Neodiprion lecontei: one gene and its partners. The protein of the gene in region 1 binds, or shares a complex with, the protein of each later gene. Links are inferred from orthologs where the notes say so. Each region holds a gene or a part of one and is shown in the gene's direction. Other genes may lie near its edges. The genes, in order: basement membrane-specific heparan sulfate proteoglycan core protein, unc-112-related protein, integrin beta-PS and LIM and senescent cell antigen-like-containing domain protein 1.

The links.
Region 2: basement membrane-specific heparan sulfate proteoglycan core protein (region 1) and unc-112-related protein share a complex: the UniProt entries of both Caenorhabditis elegans proteins name them as parts of the integrin containing attachment complex. The link is inferred for Neodiprion lecontei from reciprocal best matches to the Caenorhabditis elegans genes unc-52 and unc-112.
Region 3: basement membrane-specific heparan sulfate proteoglycan core protein (region 1) and integrin beta-PS share a complex: the UniProt entries of both Caenorhabditis elegans proteins name them as parts of the integrin containing attachment complex. The link is inferred for Neodiprion lecontei from reciprocal best matches to the Caenorhabditis elegans genes unc-52 and pat-3.
Region 4: basement membrane-specific heparan sulfate proteoglycan core protein (region 1) and LIM and senescent cell antigen-like-containing domain protein 1 share a complex: the UniProt entries of both Caenorhabditis elegans proteins name them as parts of the integrin containing attachment complex. The link is inferred for Neodiprion lecontei from reciprocal best matches to the Caenorhabditis elegans genes unc-52 and unc-97.

Annotation. Positions count from the first base shown.
Region 1 is NC_060263.1:40,499,090-40,503,850, reverse strand, and holds the start of basement membrane-specific heparan sulfate proteoglycan core protein, read left to right. Parts: upstream 1-1,751; 5' UTR 1,752-2,202; coding exon 2,203-2,289; intron 2,290-4,761. UniProt on the Caenorhabditis elegans protein: Component of an integrin containing attachment complex, which is required for muscle development and maintenance. Probable structural role in myofilament assembly and/or attachment of the myofilament lattice to the cell membrane.
Region 2 is NC_060263.1:391,955-396,868, forward strand, and holds the start of unc-112-related protein, read left to right. Parts: upstream 1-1,881; coding exon 1,882-2,020; intron 2,021-2,098; exon of another isoform or gene 2,099-2,425; intron 2,426-2,517; exon of another isoform or gene 2,518-3,370; intron 3,371-4,914. UniProt on the Caenorhabditis elegans protein: Component of an integrin containing attachment complex, which is required for muscle development and maintenance. Probable regulator of cell-extracellular matrix adhesion. Required during initial muscle assembly to form dense bodies and M-lines.
Region 3 is NC_060261.1:40,087,469-40,092,391, reverse strand, and holds the start of integrin beta-PS, read left to right. Parts: upstream 1-1,897; 5' UTR 1,898-2,049; intron 2,050-4,108; 5' UTR 4,109-4,110; coding exon 4,111-4,281; intron 4,282-4,392; coding exon 4,393-4,696; intron 4,697-4,836; coding exon 4,837-4,923. UniProt on the Caenorhabditis elegans protein: Integrin alpha ina-1/beta pat-3 is a receptor for laminin. Integrin alpha pat-2/beta pat-3 recognizes the sequence R-G-D in its ligands. Plays a role in cell migration, morphogenesis and probably in cell-cell interactions.
Region 4 is NC_060263.1:9,168,626-9,175,099, forward strand, and holds LIM and senescent cell antigen-like-containing domain protein 1, read left to right. Parts: upstream 1-1,889; 5' UTR 1,890-3,018; coding exon 3,019-3,299; intron 3,300-3,492; coding exon 3,493-3,606; intron 3,607-3,800; coding exon 3,801-3,913; intron 3,914-4,100; coding exon 4,101-4,293; intron 4,294-4,411; coding exon 4,412-4,553; intron 4,554-4,839; coding exon 4,840-5,098; intron 5,099-5,741; coding exon 5,742-5,941; 3' UTR 5,942-5,973; downstream 5,974-6,474. UniProt on the Caenorhabditis elegans protein: Component of an integrin containing attachment complex, which is required for muscle development and maintenance. Probably function in adherens junction.

The DNA of each region.
Region 1 (4,761 bases):
CTGACGCACTGGTAAAACTATGTACGTTATACCTAATATTAGCCCCACAGTCAAGTAGGTGATTAAATGCCTGCCGTATAGGTTTTCACGCTCGCCGTTCAATGCGGCAGCCAGCTTCTGTATAATACACATGGCGATATATCTATGAATATCATCTATACGATTTCACTATACAGAGTGGCATTCCATCGAGATGAAGAAGTAAATAAATAAATGTATGAATAATGGTAAGCGGATTAAAATAGCGGTCAGACTATCGTTCCAAACTCTACAATTGTCATTAATTCGGAAACAATTCCCGAAGTTTGCGTATTGCTCTTGCAGTTATTTTTATAGTGGTACTCTACGATTGAACCTTCACGAACATTTTATCGCCTCGATTGAGCGGCGATTTATAGTTATAGTTTATATTTGATCTTTTTTTATTTTTTATTATTTTGCACAGTTATAAATTTGAGACATTCAGAGCTTGACACTTGAAATAGTTCACGGCGCAGTTCAAAGATGAATAGATAATCGACGATGATTTATAAAACTTGACAATTGATGACAATTTATAGGTGGATCAAGATTGGTGGGCGTAAATCACACGTGTGAATCCAAAGATATCCATTTCCGAAACGGAATGCTGGAATCTATTCCGATATGAATTTTGAAATAGTGATTTTAAGCAGGTTCCACAGTTAAATATCCGCAGTACTTGCTGATAATTTCATTACGAATTGGTCGCACGTTGCGTGTTTATCAAATTAACACATTCGTGAACTACGGTGATTTTTTCGAAGAAGTAAAACATAATTTTCAAAAGAGAGGACAGGTAACCATTTTTTACATCGAATTGCCTCAAGATACCGAAAATTTTTGTGTATTCTTTCGATTTCACTCTGCATGTGACGAGTGATTTTATCCTGAAATCAATTTTCGCTACAATCCCACTGTGACAGTTTTTGCTTCCTTATCACGTTGGTACCGTAAAACATGTAATTCCGCAATACCGATCTGACATCGATTCGGCTCAACAAGTAGCAATTAAAAATTGGACATTCATCGAAAAAAGAAAAAACAAAAAAGAAATCCACTTCGGAAAATTTCTAAGTAACGACTTTTCAAAGGGCGAGAACAAAAAAAAAAAAAAAAATCATCAGGTCGTGAAATTGAACAAGTCTAAAACATTTTTCATAAAATCGATATCGAAATTGTGTCTCATAATTTCAGCAACTTTTTGCTCGTTGAATTTCTAGAATACCCAGCATCGCAGCTTACGAACGTAACAATTTGTTGAATGCTCCGTGAAAGCGTTTCCAAAAAATCTCGATATTCAATCCGTCGCAACGTTGCGAAAATCGAACGATCGAAGGGTAACGAACCCGTTGAGTCGGTGCTAAACCGTTTGGCGTAAACTGGTCCGGACAGAAGAGGATCGTCCGGCACCTTGACCGGTAACCGGCTGAACCGGCAACGCGCGCACCGAGCGTTCAGAACAGATCGGATCGGACCGTCGCGTCGTCGAGTGTGCGGCTGCCGAACGGAGCGGCGGGGCGGCTCCTGGAGCGAAAAGCGATGCTTGCGAGGTGGCGCAGGAAGGGGGGGGGGGGGGGGGAGGGGGGATGGACGAAGGAGGGGGCGCCACAGCCGAACCTGAACCTCGGCGGTTCGCCGCAAGGGGGGGGGGGGGGGGAGGCGAAACGGGTGGAGAGGGAACCACCACACGGGGCTTTTGAAAATGTTTTATCTTAGCCGGCGCGCACGGCTCTCAGACGCTACCCAACGCCGGTACGGTGTGGTGTGATCGTTGAAGCTGCAGAGCGTGACGACGAGCAGCGTCTGCGGTAGAGAGATTCGTTCTAAGGAGTCGGATTCGATCAGGTCTGCAGCGAAAAATTCGCGGGGTTGTTACGGAGCTGGGTGGAGAGAGAGAGAGAGAGAGAGAGAAGGTAGAGACGGCGGGTAGATTAGGAGGCGCGGTAAATTTGAAAACGGTTACGAAGGAACGACCAGTAAACAGGAAAATACGTCAACCATGAACCGTTGTCGCTGAAAAGTTTCGACTGACGGTTCGAAATCATCGCGCGGGTTTCCATCGACGGTTTTTCGTACTGCTGTCGCGGTAATAGATATAAAAAAAAAAAAAACAGAAATAACACCTTTGACCAGGCTGTCGAACCGTTCGCTTTTCGGCGATCGGTAATTCGCCCTTTCGAGATGACCACCAACGGCAGTGTTTTACTCAGGAGTGCTCTTCTCGCAGTGCTACTCGCCGCTTCCTTCGCTTCGGCATCCTTCGAAGAGGTGAGTTCATTACACACGTTTCTCATCGATATAGAACTTGATGGATGTATGTGTATATAGGTATATATACCGTCATCGCGATGATTCTACAAGAATTGTAAGTCTGGTTTTAGAAAATCGATAATCAGTTTTATACTGTATTTCCCTCCCCACGATTTACCTCGAAAAGTGCCGGGTCCTTCTTAAACCCGACAGTCAACGTTTTCATTCAATCACATTTCGTTCCTGAGAACCATATCCGTATGGATAATAAATTGTTCTTTCAAATTTGTCAAATTGCGCATACACAGGTATCGGTTAAATACCAGAGCTTGATAATCGATCACCCACCAAGTACTCGTCTCGCTCTATTTCCATCCGAAAGTGCAGGCAAAGAGATGTTGGAAACAGGTTGAAACCGATTGAGAAAATGAAGAATTGAATAGTACGAGTATCCGCACCATTTCTTTTAACGTAACCGTATCGCAATTCCCGCTGTATAATCACTTTACAATATATCACGACGAAAAGGAACTAAAAATATAATCGTACGATAGAAAATAGGAGGAAAGGGGAAGGAGGTAACTGGGCCGCTTATTAGGTCGGACGATAACGATGCGGTTACATCTGCGGGGCTATCGATCACACGTGCTTTCGTTTTATCGATGACGGATCCGAGCGATTGTGATTTGGGAATCGCAGAAATCCTTGTTGCGATTACACGTCTGCAAATGGCCTCCGTTGTACGAGCCGCGACGGTAACGTGAAGGGTATCGACACATACAGTCTAGAACTCGGATTATCCGTCGTAGCAATTGAAGTGTAACACACTCAGGGGTATCCGTTTCTACGTCTCGGACTGCATCAAGTTCGACGCACCCTCGAGTTTGAACAGAATTAAGGCTTCCTTCATCCGATCATCCTGCGGCTGTCGCTGATGGATCAGCCCTGGTCTCCGACCGGAAGTAGCAAAGTGCGAAAATTCCCGGAGACACTGACAAAGCGTCGAAACAAGTTCGCGATGATAGTTCGGAGATGAAAGATCGTTGCGACGCGTGGTTACCTTCTACTTAATGAGAACGGAAAAGCAAGGTGGGGATAAAAATGTTAGAAATCAGAAAGATTACCGCATCGGTTTCTCTAAAACGCGAAAATCTATTTTGTACAATGATTTCGAAGTATGTGCAGAAAATTCTGCTGTATTCCAAGTCATTCTGACGTTTCTGCATCGTGGTTTGGTTCTGTACTTTGATCTTTTCACATTTCGACATTATGGATTTGAAAAATACTATAAATAAAAATAAATCTTGGCCCTATGACCCTTGAATTTTATGGATCTCTGTGAATCTCTACCCCCACCCGGAAAATCATGTAGGAACAGAAGGAATGGGGAAGTCTTATTCTCGCGTGCATCGTAGCACGTGCGTCCGGCATTTCTGGTGAACCTCTGGATATCGAGGTCGATTGACAGGTAGCTCGGGATTTACCTCCCAAACAACATGGAGACGCCTATTGCGTGGCAGCCGTGAACATCTGTATCAACATGTGCCCAGTACCTAAAACCGACGGTATTGAAACGATACCTTTGCGGAGAACGCGGTTCACAACTGATTGTTGTGAACCGCAATTTGTTTAGCAGTACTTTTACCTCGATTGGAAGTATGTCGCTCGGTTGGTGTCATGTTAACTCGTAGGCAGCGTAGGTTTCTTCTTCGTCTGATACCTAATAATGTACCTTAATTAATTTGCCCGAAATACGACGGATCGTCAAAATTTGACACTTTCCATGATGGGCAGAAAATTGGCCCACGGAAATTACTCGACTCAGAGACGTGATAGCATATCGCATACACGCCACATCTGGTCTTCCTCATTAAGTATTTCGCAGTGTTATTGCATAATTCGTTCATCTGGATCCGATATTTTCATCTGATTTTATGCTATTTTAAGAATCTTGAAGATCGTGAACGATGATATTTGGAAATTGAGGAATTGAGCTGCTTATTTATGGTTTTATTTTCGATCTTAGTCTGCGTGTAATCAATACCGATTTCAAATATAAAATAGGTAAGAAAAAGAGTTCGCTCTCATATTTCGTTCCTCGAAATATCCTATACCGTTGAAGTTTCGTTCGCTAAAATAAGGTTCCATCAAGCGTAGCTTTTTCGTAATCAACGGTAAGATAACAGGCCTGCGGAATAGAACTTTTAATATCTCCCGAATAGTAATAATGCTTTTTTCTAGGTATTTAGATATGCTGAATTAAAATGTAGCGAAAGTTTTTTTTACACCGTATCGAGATTTATTCTTATGCAAGATACGCATATTTATAAATTTTTGAACAATGTTTATAAAAAAAAAAAAATATATCAAATGTAAAACTTTTTAAGTATAAAATTAATGGCATTAGTTTTAAACAACACTTAAGAGACTTGTGACATCTTTTTCTACTTTCTTCAAAATTCCTGTTCAATCTTTTTCTCTTGTACTTAC
Region 2 (4,914 bases), about 40 Mb from region 1:
ACCTGCCAAGCGTCCGCGACAGATACTTGATTTGATTTCTATGTTTTGGCGGACAGGAAAGGACAGAACGACGTTAATGCCACTACAAGGTCACGTTTCAATGAATTATTGATAGGAATTCGAAATACTATGCGCTACCCGCTCCTATTTCTACAATTTCAAACTGAATACGGTTTTATTATTTAGAAATGTTGATGCAGACTCAATTCATTTATAGCTGTATTAGCGTAAGGGGAGCAGATTATTCAAGTATTCTACAACGCCGCCCTTTCGATGAAAATTAATTTGGAACTTGAAACTTTTTATTGCATAAATGTTTACTAGTTTACTCTGTATAAAAGTACTTGTGTCATGAATATTTATTATATATCTATAGTATCGCAGACTCTGCATACAGTATGAAAGGAAAAGGCATGCGTGTTGTTAGATGCTGATTACACAAGGGATCGGATGTTAGATTTATTTCCCAGTACTGTCAATGCGAAAATAATTAAATTTCCGCTCCTCGTCCACGAATGAGAATGGAACGGGAAAATGAATTTATCGACCCTTGTGATCAAGTGCTTTATTATAAAACCCGCAGGAAAACCTTAAGTATTTCCAAAAATAGTTGTTTCCGAAATTAATCAGTCAGTTTTGTAAATTTGAGATTTGCAAACGATGCTCCGCACAAATTTTTGAAGCATCTAATAATATTAAGGGGTTGCCCTGATTGGTTTCGACGCCGACTTATATATCTCCAAATATCAAAGTCCACGTACCTCAAACGCGAAGACGGGCTTAACAACCCCATTCTATACGCAGTTCTGAATATAAACACTCCGATACATTTTCATTTGACGCAGAAATAAAGAAAATGTCGCGAATTCTGTGAATTCGCAAGGGTAAAGTACATATACCAAGTACATATTTTCGAGGTTTCGTATTTATCCGACTATCTCCCGCTAAGCAGTTTCATTTTTCGACGCTGCAGCAGTCCGTACGATAGGTTGGCAGGAATTACAAGCAACAATTAATCGATCGTAGTTCTTAATCGGAAGGTTCGTTAGTAGAAACACCGTATTGCAAATCTTGTAATAATTATTTTTCATATTATACACCGTTTATAGTTGTACGAAATTTTAACACGGTTCTCTGTTTTCCCGATTACTCAGGTACGGAATTCAAAAATAGCGCCACGGCGTGGGTAACCAAACGTCAAGTTACCGCGTGCGGTAAGGTAGGACTCGATCTTACAATCAGATGCGTCTCGCAGCGCCACGAGGTGGGCGACCAATGAACAAGAACGAAAACGGGATGCGGAGCTAACGGAAGTCGGTCGTGGATGTTGGGCGAAGCGGCTGAAGGGGGGGACCGGGACGGACAAGCACGGATGGCTCTGTACGGCGTAGACCGCTGAGCCGTCCGGAGTATTCTGGTTTGTCGTCGAGTCGCGTAACGGTCGCTCGAGTGGGAGATAAGAAAACTTTTGTCGATAAGCCGTGGAAAAAGGCTGAAGATATATAGTAACGTAGATCCGGTGTGTCGGTGTCGAGTTAAGATCGCGCGTTCCAAGGCGGATAGAATTTTCGTCCTTCCGAAGGCAAATAAAATAAAACCGCGCGCAAAGGTATTGCAAAAGTTTGTTCTTTATTTTTTTTTTTCGTTTGTTTTGTTCTCGTCGTTCGATAAAGTTTTACACGAAGAGAAATTCCAGCCATGATTATAGTGCGAGATTTGATTCGAAGAGCGTAACAAAGGCTCAGAGGAAGAGGGAAGAGGGAAGAGAAGAAGGCAGGCAGCCGGGCAAAGTGCGTCGAACGTTGAAATCCGGAATCGCTCACTCGCTCGCTCGCTCGCAGGTATATATCTCGGCTCGCAGGCCATCGTCAGCTAAACAGGATGTACTCCGACGGACACGAGGTCGACGGCAGCTGGGTGCTGCGCGTCTTCGTGACCGATCTCCAGGTCGAGAGAAGCCTCCGGGTTAAGGGGGAACTTCACATCGGTGGCGTCATGCTTCGTCTCGTCGAAGACCTTGGTGAGTTGATTGCCAATTAGCGACAGGCATTTCTATATATATATATATATATATATCCATATTCCTATATATCCGTACCACACATATGCCTGTGTATCGAAAAGTGAAAATCGGCATCACGATCCGATCACCCGTCACCGTCTCTTCACCGCGTGTTTACTCGATCCGCACTCCTTCGGTCCGGCTGTAGCTTCCGTGCAAGCATCAGCCGCGCTTCGTTCATTCGAAGTTATTCCAAGATTAACGCTGACGCATCGATATTTACACACGTCGTTGCGTGTACTATACATAAGGCGACGCTCGAGGCCGCCGCCGTCTCGGTTTTCTTGTTTCTTCTGACTCTTGGTCGGACAGCCGCTGGATGGCTGGAGCCGCCGTTCCTGCGTTGCGGGGCTCTTCGAACTTCTGCAAAGAAGAAAAGGAAATGGAAAAAGAAAAATAAGAAGGAGAAGAAGAAGAAAAAGGAGGAAGAGCGAGACGCATTGCGGAGACCGTACAGGTAGCGCGGCTCTTGTCTACGCTGGCTTGATTTTTACTGTTGACCGGCGTTAATCTTCGGCCTTTAATCTCCCACTCTCTATCCCCTCCTCTCTTGCTTTCTCGAAGAAGAAGAAGAAGAAGAAGCAGAAGAAGAAGAAGAAGAAGAACAGTTTTAACCTCGCGAAACTCGGTTCAGAAATCGCGTCATGAACCTACGGCCTCGAAAATAGCACAAGGAGACGAGCTGATCCCCCGCGATTACGAGCTTCGTTACGGAAGAAGACCCGCCTCGAATAATGAGCGTGAAGTTGGTAACGTTACTGTAACGATGCATGTTAAGGAAAAATCGTTACTTTGCACCATTTATTAGTAATGTCTGCAATTTAGTAAACCACGATAAACAAAACATGTACTCTTATTTTCGAAAAGCTTACTATTTGAAAAGTCATTCTAAAACTGTGCAACGACGATTTTTTTCCCAGATCTTTCGCGTTACGTTAACGTTACAGACTTCAGCCTCATCATCTCGAATTGAATCGGCCCGTTCTCATCGTCGTCTCGTCGCTCCGTTGGCGCGGCCAATTGCACACTTTCAATAAACCCATTCGCTGTAGTAACTGACCGCCGTCTCCTCGTCTCAGTCTCAAACCGTGTACGTACATGCTTGGGAGTAAAACGAGTAAAACCCACATGCGACCGTCGTTTTGCGCTACGTGACTTGTGACAGGGTTTAACGCACAACCGAATCGGACGATGATATTAACCGGGAGATCGCGCGTATTTTATCGGCGGTAAGACAGGCAGGCAGCGAAGCAAGCAAGCAAGCAGTCAGGCCGACCGAACCGAACGTCAGGCATCATCAAAGGTGTATTTTCGGCGTGGCGTAGAGTCGAGTCGAGTCGAGTCGAGGAGGAGAAACGAAACGTTGGTTGTTTGTCTAGGCGGCCGCACGCCGCGCCGGCTTGCGTTATAAACGCACCACCTCCCCTTCCTCCAGATCTGTGTGTATATATGTATGTGTATATAATATATATACATATCAATGTAGCTCGTACATGCCCGTACGCACGCACATACTGTGCGGTGTGCATGCAACGGCATCCCGCGCCTCCGCCCTTTCACGTTTATTTTAAACTAACACCTTGCGACACGGAGATAATATTGGATAATAGACCCGTGCTCGTGCCAGGCTTTGTGGTAAAAACTTCATCGCTCCTCAAGGGGGTGACCCAGTGGATTTCAACGTTGTCCTACCTAGCTTCAAGTATCAAAGTACACGTATCTCAAACGCGAAATAGGGCTAAACTACCCCATTTTCTGCACAATTCTGAACAGAAACACTCCGATGAGTTTTCATCTGACGAATAAATAAAGAAATGGCATGAAATCTACGAATCTACTATTGGGATTTCATGGAAATCGTGCCAGTACTTTATTTCTGCGTCTAAATGAAAATGCGTTGGAGTGTTTTTGTTCAGTATCGTGTGTAACGAATGGGGCTTATTAAACCCTTTTTTCGCGTTTGAGATACGTGGACTTCGATACTCGGAGATATATACGTCCAACGTCGAAACCGACCAGGGCATCCCCTTAAACAACCCTTCCTATCCGCATTTTGCGTAATATCGCACTCTTCTAACGATATGCACGCAGAGCGTACTCGTCGGCTGTACTCGGTATTTCGAATGAAACAAACATTACGCACCGTGTGAACTCGTGTGTGATACTTTGAATCGGCTTTGATGTATTCGGGGTTCAGGGGTTACGAGGCTTATATGCACGTGGGGTCGTCGAGAAGAAGAGCGGCAGGTAGAAATCCCGACGGGCGATATAATCTCTATCTCCGATCTCCCGTACAATCTACCCTACAGATATACATGCGTATACGTATACACGCGTGGCGCGCGTTCCTCGACAGGTTACGCGTTATGTATATATTGTGTCGCGTATAACTGCAGGTGCTTTTCAAACCACAATTTCGTCAAATCCCTCCGAATGTTCATCTCGCCTTCATATTTATGCGTCGATGCGCTTACAGAATATCGTACATACTGTAATACTTTCTTCAACTGCGCGCTATGCACGTAATAAAGGATATGTGTCACGGTTCTGTTGCAGCGCTTTCCGTTGTACCGTTCTTCTCTCGAAACATACTTACACACTCGCACCCAGGCATGTAGTACGTCATATACACATGCAATCCTCCCGCCGGATGTAATTTCTTTATACATATAAATAGCGTATTAAAGGCCAATGTAAATGCATGATTGTACGAATTATCGCGAGCAGTGGGGGGGAGGCAGAGAGTCTCTCTCGTCGTCATATGGCTGATTGTAAGAATTAGGGACCCGTAACTGCATTGTATGGTAATAAGAGTTTGTCAAACCCGGCGTATAAACAACGACGTCCAAGTC
Region 3 (4,923 bases), on another chromosome or scaffold:
TATATAGCGGCGTGTGAGGTTGATCTCGTGAAGAATAAAAATAGAATATTCGATATTTCGAATTTGCTGACGTTGGTATAGATTTTCAAAGCTCTCGACTTACCCTCTACGATTGAATTTCGGCATTCCAAAGTAGATAGATCAACAGATAATCACAAACCACACCTCCAGTTTTGATTTTTCATTGGTATTCGGGTATTATTCAGTCTAATTTCCGATAAATCGTACACTTCTGCGTATAATGTGGTGTGTAATTACGATGACAGGTTTGACAGCAGGATGTAGCAGACAGAATCTAGGGATTTTTTTTCTTTTTCTTTTTATTAGTCATCGCTTGCGTTTTGAAGCGAGATATTACGATTTGACCCGCGAAAATCAAATAAGAACAAAAAAAAAACCACGGCCATCAAGAATAGGAATTTGATTATTTATTAATTGAATAAATTCCTTTTATTACAGTTTTAGTCATTTGTTTCGGTCAATGCCGTCGCTTCAGCCTCTCGCCTTTTACAGATTTGGATTGCTGTGATGAGTCGCGCTGCACGGTTCATGTTCTCTTCGAGTTCTTTATAATTACAATTTACCTCGCTGGCGATTTGTTGCACCTCTTGAAGCGTCTGAGAACCAAGAAAAGGATAGTTGAAAATACAGTTTGAGTTATGAGTTTTTTTTTATGACGGTGCAGTTCAAGTTGTCAAAGCTAACCTTCTTTATGTTCCGATAAAGCTTTGCTGTTTTTTCCTCGTCGAATTGGCGTGCGTATTGTACATAGCTGCCGGAATAAGAGGAAAGTGTGTCACTCATGATACATGTAGAAACTATATTTGTACAATAAATGAACTATAGGATTTTATCAGGATATTTTGATTTCTTGACATGCGTTGTTTCCCTCGCAAATGAAGCTGTCAACACAGGCTGTCAAAATATATCAATATGGCGGGCAACGTATTTTTACACAATTCCATTTCCGGATTTCAAATACGACTGAATTGTAAGGTTACATTACGTCCAGTATTTTCAGAACTTCGGGCACAGACTTGCTAGCTTATGGCATAAATTAATTTTAGACCCTGCTCCTATATGTATATAAATAATAATATCAACTGTGGTTGCGGGATGCGAATTGTAGATAAGAAAAACTATCGAGTAACACCGTACCTGCGTGATTGTCAGTCACTGTTTCAAAAACTTATAAGGAAAATTTGCGATTTAAAAAACTAATTATAAACTCTACATTAAGCAGTTCTGTTTCTGTGAAGTTCAGTTTTTTCGATATACTGATATACACGATGTAAAATTTAGTAAGTGCGTATATAAATTGTTTGCAAATAGGGTTTCTGGGTGCACTGAAGGCGCATAATTAAAATCCGAATACGTAACATTTGCAGCTTACTTGCGAAACACGAACCTTATATGCATGCAAAGTTGTATTATGTTTCAAGATTATTTAGATTTTGTAGCCGCAGCTGAATGATCGCATCATCATTGAACGATGACTAATTCGTCGCTGATTTCCCACCGGAAACTAGCGGATACGCGGTTGTGGTACAGATACTTAGTAATCAACATATAAGGCAGGATTGGAGAAATATTATACAACATACATACTCCTGTGAACAGTCGGCGAGGTTGGGCGCAAAAATAGTCGTATAGTCGCGTACCGAATTAGTACACTAGACATCATCATTAGAGCTGAATAAGCTTATTTGAATTTCCCGCTTATTTGGAAAGTGCATTCGGCGAGATGTAACGAGCGCGTTATCGTGAATAATCGGATAATCTCGGGTCTTTCTCGGGTGCATACGGGACGGATGTGAGTTCATCGATATAACAATACTCGCATATGCTCAATTCGAAATAACTCTTCTGATATTTTGTCCAACTCTAGTGACCAGTCGTCTACCCGACGTTGAACGAACGGCTCGTTATTGAGTCGTTATTCCGTGGCGGTGTGGGGTTGCCTTTTATGGTGATCCAAAGTTGTGAAATTATTTCTTCGGAGTTTGTGATGTTATAAGGACAGCCGATAATCACCTTCAAATCTAGAAAGTAAGAAATGTATATCAAATTTCATATCCGGCCTTACCGAGTTAAAAATACGTATATCAAATTTATGGTTCACGGATTCTCATCTCCGTAACCTTTTTCATGCTAATGCGGTGTCTTGTAAATATAGAGATGACGGCATTAATGGATGGGTAATCGAGACGTGTTCTCAAACCTAAATGATCTGCAAGTGGAACAAATCTTTGTCCCAAAAATATCACCGTTATCACCCTTCGATTTACTGGGCAAAAACCTTATTCTTAAGGGACAAATATAGCGTGGGAGAACTGGTTTTCGGCCGCACCTCACTCGCGCATTTCACAAGTACAAATACCATTTATGACAACGTTCTACGAAACGAAAGCGCTTCTTGTTATTAATGTGCGTCACAAGAAGTAGTGAGGAAATATCAATCCTTCGATCAAATCTAAGAAACATTTGATTTAAAAAATTTCCTCGACCCTGCAAGTCAAACGGATCCATCTCTTAAATTTAATTAGATAATTAAACAATTACTGAAATAAAATTTCACGTTTTCATTAGTACCGAACAATCGCTACACCCGTTTACAAATTAGATACATTGTTTTGCTTGTTGTCAATATTCTCAACCTATTATTAATTATTATACAATCAGATGTCGCTCTTGTTTATAAAATTTGCTAATATGGATGCAAAAATGTTGTATACGCCATTCATGCGACCATTTGTTTGGTAAAAAAATGTGATATCCAAAAACAAGTTTGTAAGAAAATGTTTCAGTTCTATATAGTGAATCCATTATCTTACTTTCTTGTTTGCACTTTTGCTCTTGAGATAAGTATGCATGTTTCCAGCTTGTGTTCTTAAACGTAGCAGTATAACGTATTATTTTGGTATTCAGTTACAATTGAAAATTTTCAGTGATTTTTCCGTAATCTAGGGATGAGGAAAAGTAATTTTTAATCAAATTTATTGACATTGAATCATGTATATCGGATGATTTCATGCCAATAATCATTCACGTACGAATATGACCAACCAGATACCATCATCACAGCATGTGATATTACCAAGTAAAAGTATGATGTCTTACCTTTGGCTTACTAAGAAAATCTGACTCAGCAGCTTAATAATAGACTCCTGTTGCTAAATGTGAGGGTGTAGAAATAAGAATCCTAACTGACCAAAGAAGTATTATATTTAGCTACAATGATAACATTAATTGGTATTATTAATTTTTACTTAAATATGTCAATTTTGATTACTTTATGCAATGCACGATGCCGGTACTTTGCAAAATAAAACGGATAATGTTTCATTGTACATTTATTGTGGTGGGTTTTTTCAATGGTCAGTGTACTTATCATCGAGCTGATTCATTGGAATTCATTTCATCTTAAATTTTACATTTCTTGTACTTTTATTTTATACTTAATTTCATTATCCTCTTGCTGTACAAAGTAATTTACACTTTACTAGAATGCGTATTATTTCTCTCTTAGTTTCACATATATCTACCAGTTTCTTTCAATTATTATTCCAAGTAGACAGCATAATCTGTTTTCATGTTAATTTTCAACTGTCACACGATATCCTTATAAGGCTTTCTGTATAACCACATATGGCTAACCAGGAATACGTAGGGCAACTGAATGTCAGAAGATAACGTCTATTTATTTAGAATTAATATTCTGCTAACTTTGTTACAAGACTGTATTCAGGAATTCACACGCTTGTAAATAAATTTTAAAAAATTTGACTCTTCAGTATTGATATCGAAAGGTGTAATTTGTTGCATAGTAATGTTTAGTACCATTGTGTACTATTGTGTCAATGAAGTTGCCTTTTTATTTTAGTAGGATTTTCAATTTCATCATAATTAACAGATGCGGCATTAGATTCAAATTTCCTTTGCTTAATACTTTTATATTGGTTTTTTATTTTGCGATTGCATTGAATAAGGGCAATCCTTTTCAATAAACTGTGCAGTACAGCGGTTCTGAATTTGTTGAGGTATGAATTCATACTTGTTCGGTTGCAGTGAAATATGCAGAATGTAACACATATCCATTGATCTACAGGGATGTTTGGCAGCTTAGAATGGGCCCTGGCCCTTGTCACAGCGATAGTTTTTGTTGCTGTCAAAGCTGACTACCCTCTACCTGAAAGACTCACTGGAATGAATCCCTGTATCAGCAAGCAAACCTGCCACGAATGTATACAAACTCCACATTGTGCTTGGTGCGCTGCTCCTGTAAGTTGGATAATTTTTTTCTATGTTAACAAAAAACCCTATGTAACGGAATGGGCTACCCTGTTGTTACATCTGTAAGTATATGTAAAATATGTATTCCTATGTTCACAGAAATTTTCGGAGATGAGGTGTTTTTTGCCAAACATAAACACAAAAATATATGCTACGTGCCCAAAGAAATATACGCGGTATCCGAATAATGTTTATGATGTGATTCGGCACGCGGAATTAACAAAGGGTGGTTATTCATCTGTAGCAGGTGGTAGTGAATTTGAGCAAAGTTCATCCTCTTCTTCGTCTTCCTCATCGTCTTCCTCAAGCTCTAGCTCTAATCATACGAGTTCTAGCAGTGGTAGTAGGAGACAGGAGGCGATTCAAATCTGGCCTCAAGAAGTCGATTTGACCCTTAGGATAAGTGAGTGAGATTTTTCAAATTCCAATTATTGCTAATTGTTGACAATTTTGCTATTTCCTGAATTATTAACAATATTTTTTACCAGTGAATTTTATTCTTATATGCAATAATTACTTCATTCGTCTTTTCCATTGCTTTAGATGAGGTGCATACTATGTCTTTTTCATACTCTCAAGCCGAGGATTATCCAGTTGATCTTTACTACCTCATGGACTTGAGCAAGTCTA
Region 4 (6,474 bases), about 31 Mb from region 1:
AAGGAAATGTCATGAATTCTACGAACTCCCAATAGTTTCGTATAATCCATGCTCTTTCTTCATTTACGCATTAAATGAAAATGTATTGGGGTGTTCTTATTCAGAATAGTGTATAGAATGGGGTGGTTAATCCCTTTCTTGTGTTTGAGATACGTGGACTTCGATATTTGGAGATCAACGTCGAAATCGACCAGGATACCCTGTTTCTCATTTTCTCGTTAAATGACTCGTAGATCACAGCATTGAAGTTTACTAAAAACAGCCAGTCAGCTACGAATAGTCTTCTAAAGCAACTAAAAGGGCACAACTAGTGCGAGGGTAATGGCAGTGCCCTACACTTACCAATTCGCTTATGGGACTTACCCGAGCTCATGAACGTCCGTTAAACCGGACGTTCTTGAATTCGAGGATTACAATGTTATTTGGGTCGGTAACTGTAAGAACTTTCTGTACTTAAGTATTCCCTTAGCATCCCTCGCCTAGTTGCTTCGAGCTATGCTCCAGTTCAAAATACTCCATTCAGCTGACTGTCCTTAGCAGTCTTCAGCAACAATCTTCAGTCAACGATTACGGTGAAACAAATTGAAACATGTGACTACGTATATATTTAAAATGATTAACTATATTTCTCACCCCGTGGTGACATATATGTTATAGTTGCGGCAGCAAATTTTTACTTATTAATTTATTTGAATTTCAGGTTACAAATTAACGATATGATACAAAAATAATAATATCATTATAGTAAATAACAATATAATTTGAGAAATATTTAGAAATCACTTTGCCGAGGTTCATCGTGCTATAATTTGAATCAGAAATTATACGACAAACGGCAAAAGTCTTCGTAATCCGGATCTTTTTCCACTTAATCGTAACCTTTTCCATTTTGAGCAGCTATTACTTTGTTCAGCAGATTTGTACAGTTCATATTACTTGGTCAGATGGCGAGCGCGGGCATGTGTCGAATTTCAAAAATAGTTAAACTGCTTCCATGTGTATGTGCCGCGTGATTACATACACCTTTAAAACCAGCACTAAGCGCTAGGGGGTAAGGTTAGCTGTTCTTCGATTCGTTTCAGCATACACCGCTGCTGTACATACCTATACTATAACTGCATTATACGAAGAAAATCGGTGTCGTAAGTTGTTGGGAGTCGTGAAGTAAAGTACGAAATCACGAAATCTCGCCACCACATCCGCCCACAGATTATCCATACATACATATACATCTTTAAAAGGATAGAGTTAATTCGCCGTCGTCTCATTGGCTGAATGGGTAGAACGGAAAATAATTATTTTTACTGAATTGGGCGTGTAAGCTTCTCCAGTCTTCGCTAATGACAACGAATTAATCGTTACTATAAGTTGTCTGTTTGTATACTATCTACTAGGTAAGTAACCCAATATCTATATACCGCTTATAGGTATAACCTGTAGTGTACAAACATATTTGTAAGCCAGATATTTTTCGTGGATTACGTAGTTTCACAAATATTTCTTTGAATACGCAAATCGCGATTGTTGCTAGATGATAAGAATGGCAGTGTACGTTTATGTAAAACGACTGGGTGGGACGCGTACCGCAGTGTATAATACGTATAATGTGAGATCATGTGCGAGAAGTAAAAATCGTCTGAGCAGTTTTGTGTATCCGTGAATCCCGTTCTAATTGCAGAAACAACGAAGAGGCGAATATAACGAGTGTCAGGGTGCTGGAGCCAAATTCTCCAGTCCCACCTCAGTTTCTAATCCATATATTATCTTCTTCTTTCAAGTATCACACCAAACAAATTATGCCAGGGTAAGCAATGCTGTGTTGCCTATTTTTAGCATTGACTTCATCCAATTTCATAGACTTAACATACACTAAACCTTATCACATCCAGTTTAATTACATATATATCGCTTAAATCAATTTAAAAAATGAATTACACATCAAGTGAACACGCCTTATTCACATTTTGTAGTAACTTTTCATAAATCCCTAATAAAATTGCTTCATGACATGTTGAATCCACCCAAATGTTTCGTAACATTTTTTACTCCGATATCTCGGCATGGAATTTATGTATTATTCTGTACACTCCCATTCATTGTTGTATTAATAAAATTGTATGAACTTATTAATCTGTGCTACTTGAACATTTCAGTACACGATAGCTCCAGATATTAATTGATATATTTACATTTGCCGCGTCAGATGCAGTTCTGATTCATGTTACCAAAGTACCGATCCATTGATCCAGCTTGATCATGAATCCAAGTGGTCGTTAAAATCCGAAGTTCTCATAACAAATGAATATATGTCAATGGAATATTTAACCGTTTGTTAATCATTTCGTAACCTTGGATAGCTTACAAAGTCTCATTTACTCCAGAGAAACTTATTTCATCGAAGGTTAATGGTATTTTATATTCAGAAGTATTATTTGACATTGTTCATGTGTTTTAAACTATGCGCATTTCATCACGATTGGGTATTCATATTGTTTTTATAATAACATGTCAACTGTACAAACATATTTTAGAATTAAACAGAAACAACTTGATTTTTTAACCTTCGATACGCTTTACAATTTTACTGTTTGACGCCGAATATACTTTTCTGCTGTGTGATGTAACTCAATTCTATTGCATTACTCACATGATGATTATATTGAAGCCCGTTAGTCAGCTGTGCTTAATCAGCATTAATTATTACACCGAGTGGCAAGTAGGTGTATAACTAAAACAGATTCTATTTGAGGAATAATATTTGGCACCTGTATTAGAAAAGCTGACGATCCACTTCTTATCTACCCTGAAGTTTTATCTATTATATCAAACAGAGACGACTACGAGATAACATATCAATCCATACATACCCGAACAACTGAATCGTTCTTTGGTTAAGTAAAAAGAATGGTGTTTAATAAGGATGGAAAAGCTTGAATGCTAAATTGTGGTTTGATTAAAGTTTTTTTATTGTCAATTACGAAGTTTCGATGTGCTACATTGAATTTTTAAGACTTCAGAATGGCCCGAAACAGTGATACTCTTCCATTTCCTACGTCTATATCAATACAGTCATTAGATCACAGCAAATTATATAATAGGCGTGCACAATCCCGCGAAAATTTAGTTGAGAAAGAAATTACCAATGACTCGAACAGCAATCAATCTACTTTTGTATATGACTACGAAGAATTGGCTGAATGGAAGGGTTTTGATAAACCTCCTAAACTCCCGCCAAGGAATTTTAAAAATGCTTACTGTGACACTAATGACCTTAAAAAACAAACAACAAACAAGACAGGGTATATAGAAAAAGAATTATACTCATTAACTATTCTATTAACTGATTTTAATCGTCAACTTCATGCAATCACTGAATATTCTGTAACCAAATTCAGTGACATCATTGGTCCATTAAACTTTGATACAGAATGATGTTATATGTCCAAGACAGCAAATTTCTCTCCATCATTAATATCATTCATTTTATTACAGAGTCACAGGGATGTCTCTGGATGACATGTTCTGCTCCCGCTGTCGCGAGGGATTCGAGCCGCACGAGAAGATTGTCAATTCTCGCGGAGAATTGTGGCATCCGCAATGTTTTGTGTGAGTAACACTTTGGAATGGAATTGAAACTATAAAACCACCGGAATGTTTATCAATGGTTGAAGTTTTAGTCTCCAGCAAAGTTATGATAGAATTATTTAAATTGAGAATTTTTCCAAACGATCAATTCACATATAATGATCACAAACTATTTTGATTCTTGATATAATATATACAGATTTTCCTTTTCACAGTTGTGCACAGTGCTTTCGCCCTTTTCCCGAGGGTATTTTCTATGAGTTTGAAGGAAGAAAGTATTGCGAACATGATTTTCATGTTCTATTCGCCCCTTGCTGTGGCAAGTGTGGTAAGTTGTATACATAAGATTCATTATAAGGTTTTGTTATATGTCAGATATTTTCCGTTAGTTCGGCCACTTGTTCCTGGATCGTCAAGTCAAGAGTGATACGACTAACATTATTGAAAACAGTTCCTTGAGTTTCGTTCAGATAAACATTCAACTAGATCCATTCTAGAGGCAAATTCAATTTCAGGTGAATTTGTCATTGGAAGAGTAATCAAAGCCATGAATGCTAACTGGCATCCTGGCTGCTTCCGTTGTGAGGAGTGTAGCGGTGAACTAGCAGAGACTGGTTTCATGAAATGCCAAGGAAGAGCATTGTGTCATACCTGTAACGCTCGAATAAAAGCTGGGGCTCTTGGAAAGCATATCTGCCATCAATGCCAGTAAGTATTTATTTTTTAGAATTTTCTTGTTATTCAGATAGTTTAAAAATAACTAGAATATGTATATTGTAGTATAATTTTCTACTAATCATTGACTAAATAATATTTCTATCTATAGTGGAATAATCGACGACAAACCGCTGCGTTTCCGTGGTGAAGTATATCATCCCTACCATTTCAACTGCACGGCTTGCGGGATTGAGTTGAATGCTGATGCCAGAGAAGTTAGGTCCAGGCCTGGATTTGCGGCTAATGAGATGGTATTTTGGCATTGAATTTTTTTCTTTTCATACGTAAGCCACAGCTGAACAGCTGTGTTTCATATCGATACTCGTATGTTGTCACTACCCTATATTGACTGACAACAAAATAAAGCCCTTCAAAGTCGGCCTGGCGCATGTCTCATTTGTTTTCATATTTTTTACATCAATTATAACATTAGAGCTATCTGCTGAGATAAATGCCTACTTTTAATTTCCTGATTTAAAGATGCTACAACATTAACATACCTGCTTGATATAAATGCATACATCATGTATTTTACAGAATGAACTATATTGTCTGAGATGTCACGACAAAATGGGAATACCGATCTGCGGAGCTTGCCGGCGTCCGATAGAAGAAAGAGTTGTCACTGCCTTGGGAAAACATTGGCACGTGGAACACTTTGTTTGTGCAAAGTGCGAGAAGCCATTCTTAGGTCATCGTCACTACGAGAAAAAGGGCCTTGCTTACTGTGAGACTCATTATCACCAGCTCTTTGGAAACCTATGTTTTGTTTGCAACCAAGTAATTGCTGGAGATGGTAAGTTTTTATTGTTTTTTTACAACTTGGTAAAGATTTCGAATATCATACAGTGGTCACTTTGATTCTTTGATTACTCCTAAGTCGTTTCCTTATTTATTGACCCAATCTTTCTTTGATTGGATTACTTCAGCATGAGTGCCTATCGTTTATAACATTTAGTAGATAGCACCTTGTTCTAATTTCCAGTAAAATTTTCAACTAGTCTGCAGTGGATACTTTCCAATAATTACCAGCAATTAAATTTTTGCCAATCAAATACTAGAAAAGTATTAGACAATTGAATTTCACTTACAATTCGTTGCAAAATAGTAGAATAATTACTATCAAACTTTGTCTTCTTGCAAATTAGTGAAAGCACTTTTTCTTATTGCAAATTACGAGAGTCTAGTACTATATTATTATACCTAAATAACAAATTGAACCATAACTTTACGAGGAGTATTATTCGAATAAATGTCACAATAATTTATATTTATGTTAATCTTCTGATTAGTAAATTGCTGCAGTTTACTTTCATCATAGTTTAATAAAATTCGCAGCAACAGAATTACATTTATAATTCGACAAGCCTCATATGTTTATAATTAAAATTAAGTTGTAAGTTTTTTACAAATCATTCTTTATTCCATTTTATTTGCAGTTTTTACGGCATTAAACAAAGCATGGTGCGTACATCATTTTGCTTGCGCATTTTGTGACCAAAAGATGAACCAAAAGACAAAATTCTTCGAATTTGACTTAAAACCCGCTTGCAAGAAATGCTACGAGAAATTTCCCCAGGAATTGAAAAGGCGTATGCGTCGTATGTACGATTTAAATCCAAAAAAAATACCTGCCTAAACAAATAATAAAATACTTTTACCAGATGTGTTTAAAAAAAAGTACATGTATGTTTATATATTTATTGTGCTTAGCAATTGCCGTTTAAAATTACATTAGACAAAGATCATTCTTTGAAGAAGTAATCAAAGTAAAACGTAACATTGATTAAATTTGTCCCCAAGACTACAAAAATATTTTATATAACTGACTTTATTTTTAAGTAAATATTTATCACGTAATGGAAAAATATTACTTGGCCAACTAACGCGCATCTTCTAATTATTCGATATGTACTGTTCGCATTCTGATATTCGGATTTTTCCAAGTATACCTAGAGGATGAACAACCATTTCGATCTAATATTGAAGCATTCTCAAATGTTCGTGCCTTACACCTAGCTTAGGAATAGAAAAAGTATCGCTTATCATAATTCGCAGTAATTATCTTACATTTGACTGACGAGTTATTAATGCATCATAATATACTACACAAATAATTATACAAACAGAAATTTTACACGTATACAGTATCCACACAATATACATTATAAT